Linked DNA regions of Saccharomyces cerevisiae S288C. Each later gene encodes a partner of the first gene's protein in a complex. Each region holds a gene or a part of one and is shown in the gene's direction. Other genes may lie near its edges.

Region 1 (10,072 bases):
TGAACCCGGTACTGAGGATACTGGCATGCAAACCGCGACAGACGATGAAGAAGATGGGGAAAATGTCGATGATAACGGGAACAAAATAGTTGAGAAAACAAGACTCCCCGAAATAGACAAGGAAGGGCAGTCTGGTATAGCCCTGCCTACTCAAGACTACACTTTGCGGGAATTTATAAATGAAGTGGGGGTAGGGTTTTTAGATACCAAACTGATAGATGATCTCGACAAGAAGGTCAATTTCCCGCTTAACAGCTTTAATTTTGTGGAGAATCAAAGGATAGATAACGTATTTTCTGCCTTCTATATCGATATACCCATTTTAGAAGTGGAAGCATTCAGATGCAAGGAGCTTTGGAGAAGTATTAATGAATCCAAGGATAAATTCAAGGACTTTGAGGCCCAAATTGATAAATCCCATCCCCCTCTTCTGCTCCAGGAGTATTTTTCCTCGGATGAGAAAATGAAGCAATTGATGAGGGACCAGCTACAGTTGGTCAAAGGATATTCGAAATTGGAGGCAGCAATGGAATGGTATGAATGGAGGAAAAAGCAACTAAATGGTCTGGAATTAATTTTGGCAGAAAATTTGAATACCTTGAAAAGGGAGTACGAAAAATTAAACGAAGAAGTTGAAAAAGTTAACAGCATCAGAGGCAAAATACGAAAACTTAATGAAGCAATAAAGGAAGAGATAAGGTCCCTAAAAAACTTACCATCCGATTCTTATAAGCCTACTTTAATGAATAGAATAAAAATTGAGGCTTTCAAACAAGAGTTAATGGAACATTCCATATCGTTGAGTTCTTCCAATGATTTTACCCAAGAAATGCGTTCACTTAAATTAGCTATTGCAAAAAAATCTAATGATATACTAACTTTAAGAAGTGAAGTCGCCTCTATAGACAAGAAAATTGAAAAACGAAAACTGTTCACACGGTTTGACTTGCCAAAATTACGAGATACTCTCAAAATTTTGGAGTCATTAACGGGGGTACGCTTTCTGAAATTCTCAAAGGCAACACTTTCAATTGCATTTCTTCAACTGGATGATTTGAGAGTGGATATTAATCTAGCAAACTTTAAAAATAATCCGTTAAGTTCTATGAAAGTTATGAATGACAGCAATAATGACGATATGAGTTACCACTTATTCACAATGTTGTTGAAGAATGTTGAAGCCGAACATCAAGATAGCATGCTTTCGAACCTTTTTTTTGCTATGAAAAAGTGGAGACCATTATTGAAGTATATAAAATTACTAAAGCTCTTGTTTCCGGTGAAAATTACTCAAACTGAGGAAGAGGAAGCGCTTTTGCAGTTCAAGGATTATGATAGAAGAAACAAGACTGCATTTTTTTACGTTATATCCCTTGTCTCATTTGCTCAGGGCGTATTCTCGGAAAATGGGCAAATTCCAATGAAAGTTCACATAAGTACTCAACAAGATTACTCACCGTCACGGGAAGTCCTCTCTGACAGGATAACCCACAAGATCAGTGGAGTTCTTCCTTCATTTACGAAAAGTAGAATACATTTAGAGTTTACGTAAAGTGTTTATAATAGGACAACGATGACTAGTAATATCTCATCACTTTTTTTTAGTTTTTGACGAAAGATTTTTAACTGCCCCGCCGGCAGGAAAGTTCAAACAATTTGAAGAAAAGCTCGAAAAAATTTTGGACAAAAACAACAATCACATCACCATTGGAAAGATAAAAAATTAGAAAGAATTAACTCGTTTGTTGTTTCCTGTTACCTATCACAATTATTATTGCTTTTTAGAACCACAAGCAAAGGAGAAGCAGTAGCCACCTTATGTTTAATAAAAGTGTAAATAGTGGTTTCACCTTTGGAAACCAAAACACATCCACACCGACATCCACTCCGGCACAGCCTTCCAGTTCCCTTCAATTCCCTCAAAAATCTACTGGGTTATTTGGGAACGTTAATGTTAATGCGAATACTTCAACACCTAGCCCATCTGGTGGATTATTCAATGCCAATTCAAACGCTAATTCTATAAGTCAACAACCCGCCAATAATTCATTATTTGGAAATAAACCAGCACAACCATCAGGTGGCTTATTTGGCGCTACAAACAATACTACTTCTAAAAGTGCCGGAAGCTTATTCGGAAATAATAATGCCACAGCAAATTCTACGGGCTCTACAGGTTTATTCAGTGGTAGCAATAATATAGCCTCTAGTACCCAAAATGGTGGTTTGTTTGGTAATAGCAACAATAACAATATAACTTCTACCACGCAAAATGGTGGTCTGTTCGGTAAGCCTACTACAACCCCTGCTGGTGCTGGCGGCCTGTTTGGAAATTCCTCATCGACAAACTCAACGACAGGATTATTTGGATCAAATAATACACAAAGTTCTACAGGTATTTTTGGTCAAAAGCCGGGAGCTTCAACAACTGGGGGATTGTTTGGAAATAATGGTGCTTCATTCCCAAGATCCGGTGAAACTACTGGAACCATGTCAACCAACCCATATGGAATTAACATAAGTAATGTTCCTATGGCAGTGGCTGACATGCCAAGATCTATTACGTCTTCTCTATCAGATGTGAATGGCAAGTCAGATGCGGAACCCAAACCAATTGAAAATAGAAGAACATATTCGTTTTCTTCCTCAGTTTCAGGGAACGCTCCTTTACCACTCGCCTCACAGTCAAGTTTAGTGAGTAGACTAAGCACGAGACTGAAAGCCACTCAGAAAAGCACGTCACCGAATGAAATATTTTCACCGTCTTACAGTAAACCGTGGCTGAATGGAGCAGGTTCAGCTCCCTTAGTAGATGACTTTTTTTCTTCAAAGATGACTTCTTTGGCTCCAAATGAAAACAGCATCTTTCCTCAGAATGGTTTTAATTTCCTATCCTCCCAAAGGGCCGACTTGACAGAGCTGCGTAAATTGAAAATTGATTCCAACAGAAGTGCTGCAAAAAAATTAAAACTCCTCTCTGGTACTCCCGCCATCACAAAAAAACATATGCAAGACGAACAAGATTCATCGGAAAATGAGCCAATTGCAAATGCTGATAGTGTCACTAACATTGACAGGAAAGAAAATAGAGATAATAATTTGGATAACACTTATTTGAATGGAAAGGAGCAATCGAATAACTTGAATAAACAAGACGGCGAAAATACTTTACAACATGAAAAGTCATCAAGTTTTGGTTATTGGTGTTCTCCTTCCCCAGAACAGCTGGAGCGTTTGTCATTGAAGCAATTAGCGGCCGTTTCAAATTTTGTTATCGGGAGAAGAGGTTATGGTTGTATTACATTTCAACATGATGTGGATCTCACAGCTTTTACCAAAAGCTTTAGAGAAGAACTATTCGGTAAAATTGTAATATTTCGTTCCTCTAAGACAGTAGAAGTATATCCTGACGAAGCCACCAAACCAATGATTGGGCATGGGTTAAACGTTCCCGCTATAATCACTCTAGAGAATGTTTATCCTGTAGATAAAAAAACAAAAAAACCGATGAAAGATACGACGAAGTTTGCTGAATTTCAAGTTTTTGACAGGAAACTAAGAAGCATGAGGGAAATGAACTATATATCCTATAATCCCTTTGGCGGGACTTGGACTTTCAAAGTCAATCATTTTAGCATTTGGGGGTTAGTCAATGAAGAAGATGCGGAAATAGATGAAGACGATTTGAGTAAACAAGAAGACGGCGGTGAGCAACCATTAAGAAAGGTGCGCACGTTAGCGCAATCAAAACCATCGGATAAAGAGGTTATCCTCAAAACAGATGGCACTTTTGGAACTCTATCAGGTAAAGACGACTCTATCGTTGAGGAAAAGGCATACGAACCTGATTTGTCTGATGCGGACTTTGAGGGAATTGAAGCTTCCCCTAAACTTGACGTTTCTAAGGATTGGGTAGAACAATTAATTTTAGCTGGGTCTTCACTACGTTCTGTGTTTGCCACTTCTAAAGAATTTGACGGGCCATGTCAAAATGAAATAGATTTACTCTTTTCCGAATGCAATGATGAAATTGATAACGCAAAACTCATCATGAAGGAAAGAAGATTTACAGCCTCTTATACGTTTGCAAAATTTTCAACAGGTTCAATGCTACTGACAAAAGATATTGTTGGTAAATCGGGCGTTTCAATTAAGCGTTTACCAACTGAGTTGCAAAGAAAATTTTTATTCGATGACGTCTATTTAGATAAAGAAATTGAAAAGGTTACTATCGAAGCAAGGAAGTCAAACCCATACCCACAAATTAGTGAAAGCTCTTTACTCTTTAAAGATGCTTTAGATTATATGGAAAAAACCTCTAGTGATTACAATCTATGGAAACTTTCATCTATTTTATTCGACCCCGTTTCCTATCCATACAAGACGGACAATGATCAAGTAAAAATGGCATTATTAAAAAAAGAAAGGCATTGTCGATTAACTTCGTGGATTGTTAGCCAGATAGGTCCGGAAATTGAAGAGAAAATTAGGAATTCTTCTAACGAAATAGAACAAATATTTCTATATTTGCTCTTGAATGATGTCGTAAGGGCATCCAAGTTAGCAATTGAGTCTAAGAATGGTCATTTGAGCGTTTTGATATCCTATTTGGGTTCAAACGACCCAAGGATACGTGATTTAGCGGAATTACAATTGCAAAAGTGGTCAACTGGTGGTTGTAGTATCGACAAGAATATCTCGAAGATTTACAAATTACTAAGCGGTTCACCTTTTGAAGGTTTATTTTCTCTTAAGGAACTTGAAAGTGAATTCAGTTGGTTGTGCCTTTTGAATTTGACACTGTGCTACGGCCAGATAGATGAGTATTCCTTAGAATCTCTTGTGCAATCGCATTTAGACAAGTTTTCTTTACCCTATGATGATCCTATTGGAGTTATTTTCCAACTATATGCTGCTAATGAAAATACGGAGAAGCTCTATAAGGAGGTTAGACAAAGAACCAACGCTTTAGATGTTCAGTTTTGCTGGTACTTGATTCAAACATTGAGATTTAATGGAACACGCGTTTTTTCGAAGGAAACTAGCGATGAGGCTACATTCGCATTTGCCGCTCAACTTGAATTTGCACAATTACATGGCCACTCTCTTTTTGTTTCTTGCTTTTTAAATGATGACAAGGCAGCAGAAGATACCATAAAAAGGCTTGTTATGCGTGAAATAACATTGTTAAGAGCCTCTACCAATGATCACATTTTAAATAGATTAAAGATCCCTTCGCAATTGATATTCAATGCTCAAGCTTTGAAAGATAGATATGAAGGCAATTACCTTTCTGAAGTACAAAATCTACTCCTGGGTTCGTCTTATGATTTGGCAGAAATGGCTATTGTTACGTCATTAGGACCAAGGCTGTTGTTATCAAACAATCCTGTACAGAATAATGAACTGAAAACTTTGAGGGAAATTCTTAACGAATTTCCAGACTCTGAGAGGGACAAATGGAGTGTAAGTATAAACGTATTTGAAGTATATCTAAAGCTTGTGTTGGATAATGTTGAAACGCAGGAGACTATCGATTCATTAATTAGTGGTATGAAGATATTTTATGATCAGTATAAGCACTGTCGTGAAGTGGCCGCATGTTGTAATGTTATGTCCCAAGAGATTGTATCAAAAATATTGGAGAAAAACAATCCTTCAATAGGCGATTCGAAGGCCAAATTGCTTGAGCTCCCCCTAGGGCAGCCAGAAAAGGCATACTTGAGGGGTGAGTTTGCCCAGGATTTAATGAAGTGTACATATAAGATATAAGTTTTTTTATTTTTATTTCTAAAAAAAAGAAAAATAGTAAAACATGGACTGAAGCTAACGCTTTTGGAGTAATTAGTAGCATTATATATGGTAAAAGTGTTCTTCAGTAGGTCTAAGATTTAAAGGTAATGATATTTATATTATAAAACGATTTGACCTCTAATGCACTTCCTTTTATTCTTTTTGATAAAATATACTATACATCCCCCACAGCATCTCGCAGAGCCTCCACAACGTTAAGTACAGCACTCGAAGCTGGGCTGTCAGGATAGTTATCCAGGAAACTTTCACCCATGTCACAACTCTTGCCAATCCTCGGATCTAACGGAACAGACCCCAAAAATTTGATGCCCAATTCCTTACAAAGTGCTTCACCTCCACCTGTGGTAGCCTTGAATATTTGGGACTCTCCTTTGCAATTTGGACATACAAATCCGCTCATATTTTCCACTAGTCCAAGAATATTGATACCAGCCTTCTTACAGAAATCTATCTCTTTCCGTACATCTAATAAAGCTACTTCCTGAGGTGTGGTGACCACAAGGGCACCATCTATGCCAGATTCTCTCATATACTTGTTTATTGAAATGTGCTCATCAGATGTTCCGGGCGGTGTGTCGATTACCAAGTAATCGAGTTTATCCCAATCAACATCCTTTAAAAATTTTTTTATCAATAAATTCTTTTTTGAACCCCTCCATATAATGGCGGAATCGTCTTCTGGAAGCATATATTGAATAGACATGGTGGCTAAATTATCAGTCACATAGACAGGTGTCCAACCGGAGTTCGATTCATGGACGGTTTCTTTAATGCAGCCTAACATATGTGGCAAAGAAGGTCCACATATATCTAAATCCATGGCACCTACTTGTAAATCTTCGTCAGCTGAAAGTGCCCAACTTAGCATTGCGGCAAATGTCGACTTGCCTACGCCACCTTTGCCTGATAAAACCAATATTTTATGTTCTATTCCTGACAAGTTATCTGTGATCAATGGAATATCTGGATCAGGGCCTTTCGGAAGACTTTCACATATTTCTTTATTGGCGCAGCCACCACAAGCATCGGACTTACCTGCCATGTCTGATTCTGGACCAGGACAGTGTTCTGGTTCCGGCTGATTAAGTTCATACTCTGCTGGTAGCACTTCGTCGTTTACATGTGGTAGTATCTCAGTCATTCTTGGATATCACTTATGTATACTGTTGTTCTCAAAAACAGAAAGACTTCACGTTTAGCCTAGCCTACGAGTTGTTGGACAAACATGTTATTTATTATTATATACAAAATATTTCTACGCATTACTAATTACACCATTAATGAATCCGAAAAAGTACCCGGAAGCGTATTTTGAAAAGCCATATTAAAGAATAATAAGATGAACGGCAGTTTTCGACGTGTCAATGCATAGAACTGAGAGAATTGTGCATTGGATGACTTATTTATGTAGGGTGCTATGTCCCAGCTGACGGAGTTCATTAGCTGTATCCCTGTGGTTAATGAAGAACAAAATGAAGAAGATGAGCGTGGCCTCTGTAAGATTCAGATTGAAGATGGCGCTATGTTGGAAACATTAGATGAGAACAGTCTTTCAGGGCTTAGAATAGAGAAAATGTTGGTAAGTGAAGGTACAGGAATTTTTTCCAAAAGCAGTTTTGGAATCAATGATTTGCGAATCTTTACGGGAGAAAATATCGATGAAGAGTCTAAGAAATATGTGTGGTATGAACTACTCAAAATGTTAACTGGTCACAAAGTGTACATTGCATCGTTAGACGAAAAAGTCGTATTCACAAAATGGACGTGCAGAATGCAAGATGATGAGGTATGGAAAGTAGTTATGGAGTTGGAGTCATCGGCGATCATAAGAAAAATCGCTGAACTTACCTTGCATCCAGTCAAAAAGGGAGAGATTGATTTATTTGAAATGGCAGATAAACTCTATAAAGATATCTGTTGTGTTAACGATTCTTACCGGAATATAAAGGAGAGCGATTCTAGCAATAGAAATCGAGTTGAACAGCTGGCTCGGGAAAGGGAGCTATTGGATAAGCTTTTAGAAACACGTGATGAAAGAACCAGAGCAATGATGGTAACCTTGTTGAATGAGAAGAAGAAGAAAATAAGAGAGCTTCATGAGATTCTGCGACAAAATAATATCAAATTGTCTGACGATGATGTTTTAGATTCTGCGCTTATTAATACGGAAGTGCAAAAGCCAATTTCTGAGTTAAACTCTCCAGGAAAAAGAATGAAACGAAGAAAGACGGTAGTAGAGCCTCAAAATTTACAAAAGAAGTTGAAAGACACAAGTCGGAGGAGAGCTAATAGAAAAATATCTAATCAATCCGTGATCAAAATGGAAGACGACGATTTTGATGACTTTCAATTTTTCGGACTTTCTAAAAGGCCAATTATTACTGCTAAAGATAAACTCAGTGAAAAGTACGATGATATTACCTCTTTTGGAGATGACACACAATCAATAAGTTTTGAATCTGATAGTAGCAGTGATGTTCAAAAACATTTAGTGTCTTTAGAAGACAATGGTATTCAAATATCAGCAGGAAGATCGGATGAAGATTACGGAGACATTTCTGGTTCTGAATCTGAGACTGATGCAAGTGCAGGGGAAAAGAAGAGCTCCAACCATAGTGAACAATCCGGTAATGATAGGGAACCTTGCTTGCAGACAGAATCGGAAACGGATATAGAAACATAGCCTATTTATGAATGAATGTAATATATGGCAAAGAGTATTATAGTATCGCATCATTTGAGAGAATACTTTATTTAAATGGCAAAAAATAGTTCTATGTGAGTGATCGAAAACTCAACTACTCAGATTGAAAAGAAAATAAATAAAACTAGGTGTTGTATGAACGTGAAAGAAATCGAGAGGGTTTAGAAGTAGTTTAGGGTCATTTTTCAGTACATTGGTTGGCCTGGCTTGAGTTGCAACCAGTGCCAAGCATCAGCGTTGGCCTCTCTCTTGTACATTGGTTGGCCTGGTCTCAAATTTAACCAGTGCCAAGCGTCGGCAACAGCCTCTCTTTTCGCCAAAGTGGTGTTTTGCTCTTTTTCAGCCGCCTCAGCAATAGTGGTGTTGATAAACAATAGCCCACTGGCGGTAGCGTTACTGAATGGTAAAAAAGCTATGTCATGATCACCTCCGAAATCCAAGTATCCAATAATGGCCTCGGCTGGCACCTGAGCGATATCTTCATCGGAACTAGCAGTGACAGAAACGGCCGCTAAAATAAAAGTGAGAAAGGTAGAAATGAATTTCATTTTCTCCAATATGTGAATTTACTGGAATTTGATGCAGGTGATGGTAGTAATTATCCATTATATAGAATATAAAAACAGATATAGGAAGGACACCTCAAACTACACCAGAATCAAGGACAGCTTTTATACATATAAGCCCTCGTCTCTGCGCTGTAAAGACACCAAGTTTCACTAGGTCCACGGCGACTCTGTACTGAAACAACTGAATATTTGAAACAGTAACGATGAATAGTTTGGCTCGATACCTTGAAAACAATCACTACAGGCGTCGCCCAGATGCGCACATCGTTGCTGGCATTGATGTACCAATGAAGAAATATAAGTGACAAACTTTATGAAAAGATAGAAAGAGGTTTACAAGATAAGAGAAAAATTATGCTGTGAAGATTAGTAATCGAAGTAACTGCTTATTCATTCAGTGCATGTTTTTCTAGGAATGCGTTTGATATGGGACATACATCTTACTATGCGACATTACCTTTTAGGGACATCAATGAGCAAGTGAACACTAGCAAATTAGGAAAACAACTTTAGCACGCCCAACTGCGTACTGAAACGCAGAAAACTATAGAGTTTCCCGAAACGGTGACAGCTGAGTTCGCTCAAATAAGAACAACACCATGTCTTGAAGCTTCTTCTATAGCGTAGAGTAAGTAGTGCCTTGTAGCCCTACCGTTTTACAATGCATGAGGTTACCCGCACTTATTATTTTTTTCTCTTTTTTTTTCTTAGCTATAAAAGGCAGATCAATGCAGCATTCATTGCTTTATTTGACTTTCCTTTACTATTTATTTACTTTCCATTTCTTATTTTAGTGTTATTTTATAACAGTAACGCAAATTTAACAGCCATTCGTAACACGTACAGTATCTCGTCGAGGTTGAACCCCTCCGGGGCGTTCTTGACCCATGAAGAATGTGGATTGGTGTTGCAATATATTTATTATTGGCTTGGACTGGAGAACAAATTTATCGATCTTGGGTGCAACAGTCTTTCTGTCGTCTGT
Region 2 (5,630 bases), on another chromosome or scaffold:
CTTCTTTGGCAAATTCTGCATTAGCTTGATATTTAAACTTCACAAATCCACAGTTTTTGCTCTCAACGTATCGTATTCTATCAATATCACCCAATCGAGAAAATACAAATCGAATTCTGCTTTCTATCTGAGCTGGCTTCAAATGCTTGCTATTCAATGCTCCATCAATACCACCTACATACAATGTCTTGTTTTTCTTCCTAAATGAACCGATCCCGCCCATATCCTCTCTATAGTCAGCAAATTTTTCTCTACCAAAACAGTCCAATACCTCTGTCCTCAGGGCCAGTTTACCTATATCTTCTTCGTCTGGTATATGATGCAGATATTCACATTTAGGGCCAAGGCAACACATACCCTTTGCAAAAAATAGACAGAAGAACAACTGGCCATCATTATCGCCCCTAGTCTTCCCAGAATGAAGTTGCGGCTGCAAAGCAAATGGACTAACAAATCGTGTATTCCCCGCAAACCCTTGGGACCATTTATTATACCATATATTAAACGTCAATCCAGTCTGCGCCGGTATAGAGGAGGGCAGTTCTGACTCCTTCACTTGCACTTTCGCGGATTTATCCCTCCAAGATGTCATCCAAATTTCTATCAATGCGTATACTGTCTTACTAACGTCGTTACTACCTTAAGGCCCATCGCCAGTAGTCTTTATTATGATCCAGCCTTCAATACATAATGGAAAATTTCATCATTACCCGCATATGTACGTATGTAACGATGGAATGCTCAAAAACTGAAAAAAATTTTTCTGAAAAAAAGTGATGAGGAATAAAGAAAAGTAAAAAACGAATGCATGATATAGTAGTAGTAAATGGTCAATGGATCATTGGGTAGCAGAGAAACGGAAACAAGTGCAGTAAAAATGGGTAAAGACAACAAGGAACATAAGGAAAGCAAAGAAAGCAAAACCGTAGACAACTATGAGGCCAGAATGCCTGCTGTGTTGCCATTCGCTAAACCATTGGCCTCTAAGAAACTAAACAAGAAGGTCTTGAAGACCGTGAAGAAGGCTTCCAAGGCCAAGAATGTTAAAAGAGGTGTCAAGGAAGTTGTCAAGGCCTTAAGAAAGGGTGAAAAAGGTTTAGTCGTCATCGCCGGTGACATTTCTCCAGCTGATGTTATTTCCCACATCCCAGTCTTATGTGAAGATCACTCTGTCCCATACATCTTCATACCTTCAAAGCAAGACTTAGGTGCCGCTGGCGCTACAAAAAGACCTACCTCAGTTGTCTTTATCGTCCCAGGTAGCAATAAGAAAAAAGATGGAAAAAATAAAGAAGAAGAATACAAGGAATCTTTCAACGAAGTTGTCAAAGAAGTTCAAGCTTTATGAAAAAAGTTCGCTTCTTAACCATATTAGAAATCTAGAAGAAATAAAAAAAATCTGGCATTAGATATATATTTTGACTGTAGGCCTTCTGTATATTATATAATACTACTAATAACATCAAATGTTTGTGACTTTTCGGGTAACCGGGCTTCGTTCTACTGTTCCACTTTTTGTATGTTTAATGAAAATATCATCAAAGAAATAGGTATATAATTGATAACAAGAGAATCGCGGGCCGTTGCTACAGGATATTCTGCAGAGTCGAAGAATGAGATTTGTGTTCGATGAGGTTTTCAATTCAGATACTGATTCTCCAGAATTTGAGGAAACATGTTCTACAACATCTTCTACGTCATCGCAATGCCCTACACCTGAGCCGAGCCCAGCAATAAAGTTACCTTCATTCACGAAAGTTGGCACGAAGAAATTGGTAAATGAGTCGGTAGTTATTTTAGATCCTGCTCTAGAAAACGCCTTGCGCGATTTGAACCTTCAATCGAAACTGATCCCCATTAATGAGCCCATTGTAGCCGCGTCATCGATAATAGTACCGCATTCAACCAATATGCCACTACCGAGAGCATCGCATTCGTCATTGCTAGATAATGCTAAGAACTCAAATGCGACAGCACCCTTACTCGAGGCAATAGAAGAATCTTTTCAAAGGAAAATGCAAAACTTGGTGCTTGCCAATCAGAAAGAAATTCAATCTATTAGAGAAAATAAACGTCGTGTTGAAGAGCAACGTAAGCGAAAAGAGGAGGAAGAGCGCAAACGTAAGGAAGCTGAGGAAAAGGCCAAGCGGGAGCAGGAATTATTACGTCAAAAGAAGGATGAAGAAGAACGTAAACGCAAAGAAGCTGAAGCAAAGCTAGCGCAGCAGAAACAAGAAGAAGAAAGGAAGAAAATAGAAGAACAGAATGAAAAGGAAAGACAATTGAAAAAAGAACATGAAGCCAAATTATTGCAGCAGAAGGATAAATTGGGTAAAGCAGTTACAAACTTTGATAAAATCTCCAAAATGTTTTGGCATTATAAAGACAAAATTGCTCAAATAAAGCAAGACATAGTTCTGCCTATAAAAAAAGCTGATGTGAATGTAAGGAATTTGCTCTCACGTCATAAAAGGAAAATTAACCCGAAATTCGGACAATTAACTAATAGCAACCAGCAACTTTTTAAAATACAGAATGAACTAACTCAATTGATAAATGATACTAAAGGCGACTCTCTAGCATATCATTGGATTTTAAACTTTATTGCCAAAGCCGTAGTACATCAGGCGGAAACAGAAGTCAGGGTAAAACCAGAGTCTGCTCTGCCCCTAGGGAAATTGACTTTATATTTGTTAGTCCAATTCCCAGAGTTACAGGAATTGTTTATGGCAAGACTTGTCAAGAAATGCCCCTTTGTGATAGGATTCACGTGTGAGATTGACACAGAAAAAGGCCGTCAAAACATGGGATGGAAAAGAAACAACGAGAATAAATGGGAAGATAACACATCCTACGATGAGAGAATGGGCGGGATCTTATCATTATTTGCCATAATAACGAGATTACAGTTACCTCAAGAATTTATCACCACCACGAGTCATCCTTTCCCCATCGCATTATCGTGGCATATTTTGGCTAGAATATGTAATACGCCACTAAATTTAATAACAAATACCCATTTTGTCATACTCGGTTCGTGGTGGGATGCCGCTGCCGTACAGTTTCTTCAGGCGTATGGGAACCAAGCCTCTAAATTGCTAATCTTGATTGGTGAGGAATTGACCTCCAGAATGGCTGAAAAGAAATATGTGGGTGCTGCGAGATTAAGAATTTTATTAGAGGCCTGGCAAAATAATAATATGGAGTCCTTTCCGGAAATGTCTCCTTAGAAAATTCTGAACTTATATATGCACATTATGCTAATACACTTTATAATGACTTTATTTTAAACGTCGCCATTTTTAGTTTTATTTTCGGCTCGATATCAAGGGATGGCAGAAAATACGTCATGAATATTAAGCCGTAAGTGGGAAAAGTTAAGACAATCTCCCACTCAAATATACGTACGTGAAATTGACATTTGAACTACCGCTCATAATATCTTATTCGATCAAGCAGAATATTCATTCTTTTTCCGGCGCCTATCTCCTTACCTTTATTTGTAAATGCTACTCTTCATTTATCAAATTTTTTAAAGCAGATGCATAAACCTTTAAGATGGCTAATAACGATAGCCTTCTACGTTTCGAACGTTATATTAATAGGCTATTCCCTTTCTAGTAATGGCTCAATATCTGAATTTTATCTGCATTCTGTTGTACTTATTGAATGCTTCTCTTTACTAGGAGTGGTTACCTCTGACTGCTTAACACCATCTTTGTCATACATTTCCAGTAACATATTCCATATTTCCGATAGAGTATCCGGCATGACTTTATTAGCATTGGGGAATGCACTTCCTGATATTACTAGTACTTACCAGTCGATGAAATCTGGCGTGACTTCCTTGGCCATTGGTGAGTTATTTGGTGGCATATTTTTTCTGTTAACCGTTGTGATTGGACTAATGGGCTGCGTAGCCACTATTCAATTTCAACATGACAAGTCTATTGAAACTTACACAGAAGAAAGCTTTGACCAAAATTTATCGTATGATAGAAGCAATTATATATTGGATGTCGGAATATTCACTTTTATGCTCTTAGTTTCGGGCACTTTTCTAGCAGATGGAAGACTGTACTTTTGGGAGTGTATTGTCATGGTTTTAACCTACTGCTGTTGTGCTGTCTATTTAATAAAAAGCTACAAATATCCCTGCGAAATCAATGATGCTTTAGAAAGAGAGGTAGAAATAAAAAAAACTGTACTTGCAAATAATCATATCACTGTTCCAAATCGATTTACATTAACGACTACCAGTGACATTACATCCACAGACGATGGAATAAGATATGTAAGGCCTTTGGGGGATACACAGATTGATGAGGACAACGCTATTAGTTTAGATCCAACTCGTTTACCAAGTAAATCCCTGGATAACATTTCGAGATTTAATCAAGGTATACCTGAAAGAAGGGATTTAATAAGACGTAGAATACGGGGATATTTACGGTCGCATTATCATGGCTGGGTAAGAATGACGTTACAAGATCTTTTGAATATATGGGAGAAGCAGAATCTTTTTAACAATACAGTAAAATCGTTGTCTTTACCCTCCGATGATACTCATTTATTTACTAAAGCTTCTTTAGATGAAGAAGGGAGGCCTTTAATAAGAAAAAGGATGAATTCATTACAACCTAAGGATTTTTACAAATATTTGTCCCTACGGAATGGGGAAAATTCAAATGCGCTGGATACTGCAATCTCTGCTCCCCAAAACGAGTATCAAACTTACTATAATGAACCCACAAGTTTGTTTTTGACTGTGCCACAAAAAAAAACCTCCAAGAAATCATTAAGCTGCGATCGCATTCCAAACTTGGTCCGGAGTAATAATATTATATTAAATGACGAGGCTACACGTACACAGGAATCTACCAATGCCTTGAACAGCATATCAGATGTTATCGACAACTCTCTCTTACAGTATGAGAGAGATGATATAATTCTCGATAGAACACTATCTCTCTGTTCAACAAAGAGTAGAACCGCTTGGCATAGTTTCCAACTTTACAATTACTTAACAGATGTGTCCTTGGAAATTGGTTTCTTTGAGTTCTTGTCATTATTAGTCACTACGCCGGTATCAATAATTCTTTATCTTTCAATACCATCAGAGATAAGTCAAACAGACCATGACTTACCCCTTTCATACCTACAGAATATTCAATTGATTGCTTCGCCAATAATTCTCAACCAACTCATCACAAATAACTTTTCATTTTGGTTGCTCATCTTATCGCTGGTGATAGCCATCTTATTATATTTTAAAACTAGGACCATACCGAACAAGTTCAACTCTGATATAATCTTTACAGTAGCATTTTTATTGTCATTGGCCTGTCTTTCGAAAGCTGTCCACATAATTGTAGTCACGTTAACGCATTGGATAAATGTGTTTAATATATCGGAAACAATACTAGGTTTAACCATTTTTACATGGGGTAATTCGATTGGTGATTTAGTGTCAAATATTACATTCGTCAAAATAGGTGTTTTAGAAATCGCGATAGGAGCTTGTTTTGGCAGTCCACTTTTATATTTCTTATTTGGCGTCGGATTTGATGGAATTATGATAATGCTAGGCGACAAAACTGGAAAAATAGTGAGTGGCAGAGATAGTAATA
Region 3 (6,845 bases), on another chromosome or scaffold:
ATTATCAAGCTCGCCACTAAAGGTGTCTGGATCCTTACTCAATACAAAGTCCAAGGAAAGGTGTGCCACAGGAAGAGGTAGCATCCCTTTATTTCTTTTCAAGGAAAGAAGCATTTTCAATCACATATGTATACAATAGTCTTCCGTGTGGCTGCACCGCACCACCTTGCAGGTCCCGTGTATGTAGGAGTCGCATGCGAATAAAAAATTGAGAAAGATCATGGGGTTTTTTGTTCACGCGGGCCGCAGTTGTGGCTCCTCTGTCACTTTTTTGCCCTCTGCTAAGGGCAAAAAAGAAAAAAAAACGCAACGAGAAAATTAAAAGTGTGGCATTTCGACATCTATCGCCATTCGTGCGGCCATTTCTCGAAACAACGCTAAACTTTTGTTTCGACTGTGAGGCCCTAGAACAGTTCGATTCTGATGTAGGCAATGGAAGAAACAATCATATATAACTACAGAACCTAATGTTACATGCTTGCATCTCTCAGCTCCCGCGAATTTTCAAGTGAGACTTAATGGTAGCCATCTAGTAACTCATAAATCAACGACATTATATATCATCAACTACAATGCAGGCAAACCATTCCGTCAGTTACCTTTACGAATCAAGTACTTCAAAGAGGTCAAATGGGCTCTTTTCTCAAACACAAAAGCAAGGAAGTTTTCAAAAAGCTTTAAGTCAAACTCAGGAAGAAATAGAAGATGAAGACCTGATGGTAGACCTCAACACAGGATCTTTAACTCCCGTTAAGTTAAAATATTGGACTCAAATGAGTGCTATGACGGAAAAATTTGGTAAACTGTGAGACCAATTTTGGCGGTAATTTCGTTTAGCTGTTTTATTTTCACATTTTTAATTGTCAATGCTGGAGGTTGTTAAAGTTTGGCTAGCTGTTCTGAACAATCCTTGTATACCGGTGAGACTTTTTGTTATAGATATTGGCGATATTCATTTTTTAGGAAGGTGTTTTTATAGATTTTTCAATTTTTTTTGTGTAGATGCATGTTTTGATTACTTATGCATAGTACGAATTTTTAGTTTATTAAGCTATAGAGGTTTTTTTTTTTTTCACCTCTTTACCACAAATTTAATAGCTATTGTGTAGAATAACTTTTAATGGAAAACATTTGCAGTATTTTAGTATTTTTCTACCTGTTTATTGCAAGTAAGGGCAGCATTATCCTGATAGGAGTAGAGGTTAACCGCACATCGGAATGAGACTTCTCCAAGAACGTTCTCAAAGTAAAACATTTAGCATTAGGAAATTTCTTTGGTCGATTATTAGACAAAGATTAGATTGTATTATGTTCTGATGCTTAGTTAGAACGGAAAGTGTTACCCATCTTGCAATCACCGTGACACCTTAAATATTTGCCGTAAGCGAAGAAAAAAAGCATGAAAAAAAAAAGCATATTTATGCTGAAGTCATCTACAAATGACCACCGCTTTTGGACCTGAAGAGGAGAAGAAAATAACATATCGTAGAACAGTCTTTGTTAACCAAAATATTTTAGCTTTGATTCCGGACTATTAGTACATTGAATTTTTTCAGGTACTAACAATGTTTGGCAACAATAGACCAATGTTTGGAGGGAGCAACCTTTCCTTTGGATCAAATACGTCATCCTTCGGTGGGCAACAATCGCAACAACCAAACTCTCTTTTTGGAAATAGCAATAACAACAACAATTCCACCAGTAACAATGCCCAATCAGGATTTGGTGGATTCACTTCTGCCGCTGGCAGTAATAGTAACAGTTTATTTGGAAATAACAATACTCAAAATAATGGGGCATTTGGCCAGTCAATGGGTGCCACCCAAAACTCACCATTTGGGTCGTTAAACTCCTCAAATGCCAGTAATGGGAACACTTTTGGAGGATCCAGTTCAATGGGTTCTTTTGGTGGTAATACCAATAATGCATTTAATAATAACAGTAACAGTACCAATTCCCCGTTTGGTTTCAATAAACCGAATACAGGAGGGACCTTGTTTGGTTCGCAGAATAATAATAGTGCAGGTACTTCTAGTTTATTTGGCGGCCAAAGTACAAGTACCACTGGCACATTCGGAAACACCGGAAGTAGTTTCGGAACAGGCTTAAATGGCAACGGCTCTAACATATTTGGGGCAGGGAACAACTCACAAAGCAATACTACCGGCAGCTTGTTTGGCAACCAACAATCTTCAGCGTTTGGGACAAATAATCAACAAGGAAGTCTATTTGGACAGCAATCTCAAAACACCAATAATGCGTTTGGTAATCAAAATCAGCTGGGGGGCAGTTCCTTCGGATCAAAACCAGTTGGTTCAGGGTCGCTGTTTGGCCAGAGCAACAACACTTTAGGTAATACAACCAATAATAGAAATGGATTGTTTGGTCAAATGAATTCCAGTAACCAAGGCAGTTCTAACAGTGGATTGTTTGGACAAAACTCGATGAACAGCAGCACTCAAGGGGTATTTGGACAAAACAATAATCAAATGCAAATTAATGGCAATAACAACAACAGTTTATTTGGAAAGGCAAACACCTTTTCAAATTCCGCATCAGGAGGTTTATTTGGCCAAAATAATCAACAGCAAGGGTCCGGGCTGTTTGGTCAAAATTCTCAGACAAGCGGTAGTAGTGGACTTTTTGGGCAGAATAATCAGAAACAGCCCAATACTTTTACCCAATCTAATACAGGAATAGGTCTCTTTGGACAGAACAACAACCAGCAACAACAATCTACAGGTTTGTTTGGAGCCAAACCAGCAGGTACCACAGGATCTCTTTTCGGTGGTAATTCATCAACCCAGCCTAACTCTCTTTTCGGTACTACCAATGTACCTACCTCTAATACACAGTCACAACAAGGAAATAGTCTTTTTGGTGCCACGAAGCTGACCAACATGCCCTTTGGAGGAAATCCCACTGCAAACCAGTCAGGGAGTGGAAACAGTCTATTCGGAACTAAACCTGCCTCCACTACCGGCTCATTATTTGGAAACAACACAGCTTCTACGACAGTACCTTCCACGAATGGATTGTTTGGTAACAACGCTAACAATTCAACTAGCACTACGAATACGGGACTTTTCGGTGCAAAGCCTGATTCTCAGTCCAAACCTGCATTAGGGGGAGGGTTATTCGGCAATTCAAACTCGAATTCTTCCACAATCGGCCAAAACAAACCAGTTTTTGGAGGCACAACCCAAAATACAGGACTCTTTGGCGCCACCGGCACGAACTCTTCAGCAGTTGGTTCAACTGGTAAACTTTTTGGCCAGAATAATAATACGCTTAATGTTGGTACACAAAATGTACCACCTGTGAACAATACCACCCAAAACGCCCTTTTGGGTACAACGGCAGTTCCTTCCCTACAACAAGCCCCAGTAACTAATGAACAGCTTTTTTCCAAAATATCAATCCCTAACTCTATTACAAATCCAGTTAAAGCAACAACTTCAAAAGTGAACGCAGATATGAAAAGAAATAGTAGCCTCACGTCTGCCTATAGACTTGCCCCAAAGCCGTTATTTGCTCCCTCTTCGAATGGCGATGCTAAATTTCAAAAGTGGGGCAAGACACTGGAAAGAAGTGATAGAGGAAGCAGTACCAGCAATTCTATTACGGACCCAGAATCAAGCTATCTAAATTCAAACGACTTGTTGTTTGATCCAGATAGAAGATATTTGAAACATCTGGTGATTAAAAATAATAAGAACTTAAATGTCATTAACCATAATGATGATGAAGCAAGCAAAGTTAAATTAGTGACGTTTACAACAGAATCAGCTTCAAAAGATGACCAAGCCTCATCAAGCATTGCTGCTTCAAAATTAACTGAAAAAGCACATTCTCCTCAGACTGACCTAAAAGATGATCATGATGAAAGCACTCCTGATCCTCAATCGAAATCTCCAAATGGTTCCACCTCTATACCAATGATTGAGAATGAAAAGATTAGCAGCAAAGTTCCCGGCCTATTGAGCAACGACGTTACCTTTTTCAAGAATAACTACTACATTTCACCTTCCATAGAAACGCTTGGCAATAAGTCATTAATTGAACTTCGTAAAATAAACAACCTAGTCATTGGTCACAGAAATTATGGTAAAGTCGAGTTTCTGGAGCCCGTTGATTTGTTGAATACTCCTTTGGATACTTTATGCGGGGATCTTGTCACCTTTGGACCAAAATCATGTTCAATATATGAAAACTGTTCCATAAAGCCAGAAAAGGGCGAAGGCATTAATGTACGTTGTAGAGTGACTTTATATTCCTGTTTTCCTATTGACAAAGAAACAAGGAAACCTATAAAGAATATAACACATCCTCTACTGAAAAGAAGTATAGCCAAACTAAAAGAAAACCCAGTGTACAAGTTTGAAAGCTATGACCCCGTAACAGGCACCTATAGTTACACCATAGATCACCCAGTTTTAACTTAAACCGGAATAATTTTTGTAGAGAATCCTTGTATCGTCTAAGTAGTCTAGATGTTCAGCTGATAGATTTTCGTTGTATTGTATATATAATAATTGTCGGAAAACAAAAATACTTAATTGTAATTGTGTGACCGAAAATGCCTGATCAACAGCCATGGCACATTTGAATGGGATTTTGAGGAGACAAAAATGAAGAGGTTCTATAACCTTTGTAGAAGAACATTGACCTCTTTTCAATGAAGGTTGGTGGCATCGCCAGATGCAGAAAGGTTGTCTCATGAAATAAAAACGGACAGACCATGAAGGCTAAAGGAAAAAAATAAAATGCCATCTCCTAGAATCGAACCAGGGTTTCATCGGCCACAACGATGTGTACTAACCACTATACTAAGATGGCAAACAACTGTGAAGTTTTTGGTTACATCTGCACATCTGGTTGAATAAATATTATGTACTCTTTGCTTTTTTATGTTAAACCTACAAGTGGTGACTGTAAAGAAGCATTACAACGTAGAACTGATAAAGGGGAGAAATATGTGAGTTGTTAGATAATTGTTGGGATTCCATTGCTGCTAAAGGCTATAATATTGGTATACAGAATATACTAGAAGTTCTCCTCGAGGATATAGGAATCCACAAAAGGGAATCGATAGTTCTACATAATGTTATTATTTTATCTTCCTTCCTTTTATATGTTGTCATTCATTATCCTATTACATTATCAATCCTTGCATTTCAGCTTCCATTAGATCGGATGACTGTTTCTCAATCTTTATGTCATCTTCTCACACCGCATGTGATAATATAATATTAAATAGATGATATTAGAGTTCAATTCCAACAAAAGGGGAGTAGTTACATAAGCTTTCCGTAATGGTGAATTTATAGCAGTTTCCTTCTCGATGAAAGGAAGGGAAAGAATTAAATATACTCGAATGCTTGTACCACTCCATTTCCCCATTTATCACATTTAAAGTTACGAGTAAAAAAGTGACCGATATAGAATGTCTGATGAAAGAGCAAATGAAAGAAACATCAAGAAAGCATATTGAAATTAGCAAGTGAAAGCAAAAAAAGTAGATGAGTAAGCATTATAATGCGTCCAGTCTGACTTTTTTGTTGGAATAAAAATCAACTATCATCTACTAACTAGTATTTACGTTGCTAGTATATTATCATATACGGTGTTAGAAGCTGGCGCAAATGATGAGAAATAGTCATCTAAATTAGTGGAAGCTGAAACGCAAGGATTGATAATGTAATAGGATCAATGAATGTTAACATATAAAACGATGATAATAATATTTATAGAATTGTGTAGAATTACAGATTCCCTTTTATGGATTCCTAAATCCTTGAGGAGAACTTCTAGTATATCTACATACCTAATATTATAGCCTTAATCACAATGGAATCCCAACAATTACATCAGAATCCACTGAGTCTTCATTTTTTCCTATTTTTTGAATTAATTTTTGTTCGTATCCATTGGGCTGGCGAGCAAGTCCATCAAATAAAAAGGCGCGTAATTCGCTTCGTTTCGTGTCTTCGAAAATGAAGACCAGTTTTCCTCCTTAAAAGTACTTTAATTCGGAGAGCCGATTATATAAAGTGAAAGACTTAGTACTTCGTTAGCTCATATCGTTTTCTTATTTTGAAATAGGTTATCTATAGAATACTTTATCAAGTTATCAGGTTCTTTCCGGAAAAACATCTCATAAATCATCCCTGGAAAAATGTCTAGTCAAACAGAAAGAACTTTTATTGCGGTAAAACCAGATGGTGTCCAGAGGGGCTTAGTATCTCAAATTCTATCTCGTTTTGAAAAAAAAGGTTACAAACTAGTTGCTATTAAATTAGTTAAAGCGGATGATAAATTACTAGAGCAACATTACGCAGAGCATGTTGGTAAACCATTTTTCCCAAAGATGGTATCCTTTATGAAGTCTGGTCCCATTTTGGCCACGGTCTGGGAGGGAAAAGATGTGGTTAGACAAGGAAGAACTATTCTTGGTGCTACTAATCCTTTGGGCAGTGCACCAGGTACCATTAGAGGTGATTTCGGTATTGACCTAGGCAGAAACGTCTGTCACGGCAGTGATTCTGTTGATAGCGCTGAACGTGAAATCAATTTGTGGTTTAAGAAGGAAGAGTTAGTTGATTGGGAATCTAATCAAGCTAAGTGGATTTATGAATGAATAACTTATGGCATGGGAGGGTACATATGAGCGCCTTTTTTTTCTCGCTTTGGGCAGCTCATATCATGTTCCCTCACTAGCTAATAATATAATGAATTTTTTAGAAGGAGCACGATTATATAAAAAAAATACCACTTATGTTGCTACCCTTATATACGAATTTATAATACTTAATGACGCTTCAATGACGCCTGATGTCAAATGC

What was found.
Region 2: NUP145 (region 1) and GLE1 share a complex: the UniProt entries of both Saccharomyces cerevisiae proteins name them as parts of the nuclear pore complex.
Region 3: NUP145 (region 1) and NUP100 share a complex: the UniProt entries of both Saccharomyces cerevisiae proteins name them as parts of the nuclear pore complex.

Annotation. Positions count from the first base shown.
Region 1 is NC_001139.9:336,088-346,159, forward strand, and holds NUP145 (nucleocytoplasmic transporter NUP145), read left to right. Parts: upstream 1-1,818; coding exon 1,819-5,772; downstream 5,773-10,072. Other genes in the region: kinetochore-microtubule binding complex subunit SPC105, read left to right, coding at 1-1,552; NBP35 (Fe-S cluster-binding ATPase), read right to left, coding at 5,969-6,955; LIF1 (Lif1p), read left to right, coding at 7,232-8,497; MF(ALPHA)2 (Mf(Alpha)2p), read right to left, coding at 8,704-9,066; YGL088W (uncharacterized protein), read left to right, coding at 9,749-10,072. UniProt on the Saccharomyces cerevisiae protein: Functions as a component of the nuclear pore complex (NPC).
Region 2 is NC_001136.10:86,635-92,264, forward strand, and holds GLE1 (nucleoporin GLE1), read left to right. Parts: upstream 1-1,613; coding exon 1,614-3,230; downstream 3,231-5,630. Other genes in the region: active spliceosome conformation promoter CWC2, read right to left, coding at 1-592; snoRNA-binding protein NHP2, read left to right, coding at 878-1,348; YCX1 (Ycx1p), read left to right, coding at 3,542-5,630. UniProt on the Saccharomyces cerevisiae protein: Functions as a component of the nuclear pore complex (NPC).
Region 3 is NC_001143.9:308,634-315,478, forward strand, and holds NUP100 (FG-nucleoporin NUP100), read left to right. Parts: upstream 1-1,565; coding exon 1,566-4,445; downstream 4,446-6,845. Other genes in the region: YKL068W-A (uncharacterized protein), read left to right, coding at 573-809; YNK1 (nucleoside diphosphate kinase), read left to right, coding at 6,179-6,640. UniProt on the Saccharomyces cerevisiae protein: Functions as a component of the nuclear pore complex (NPC).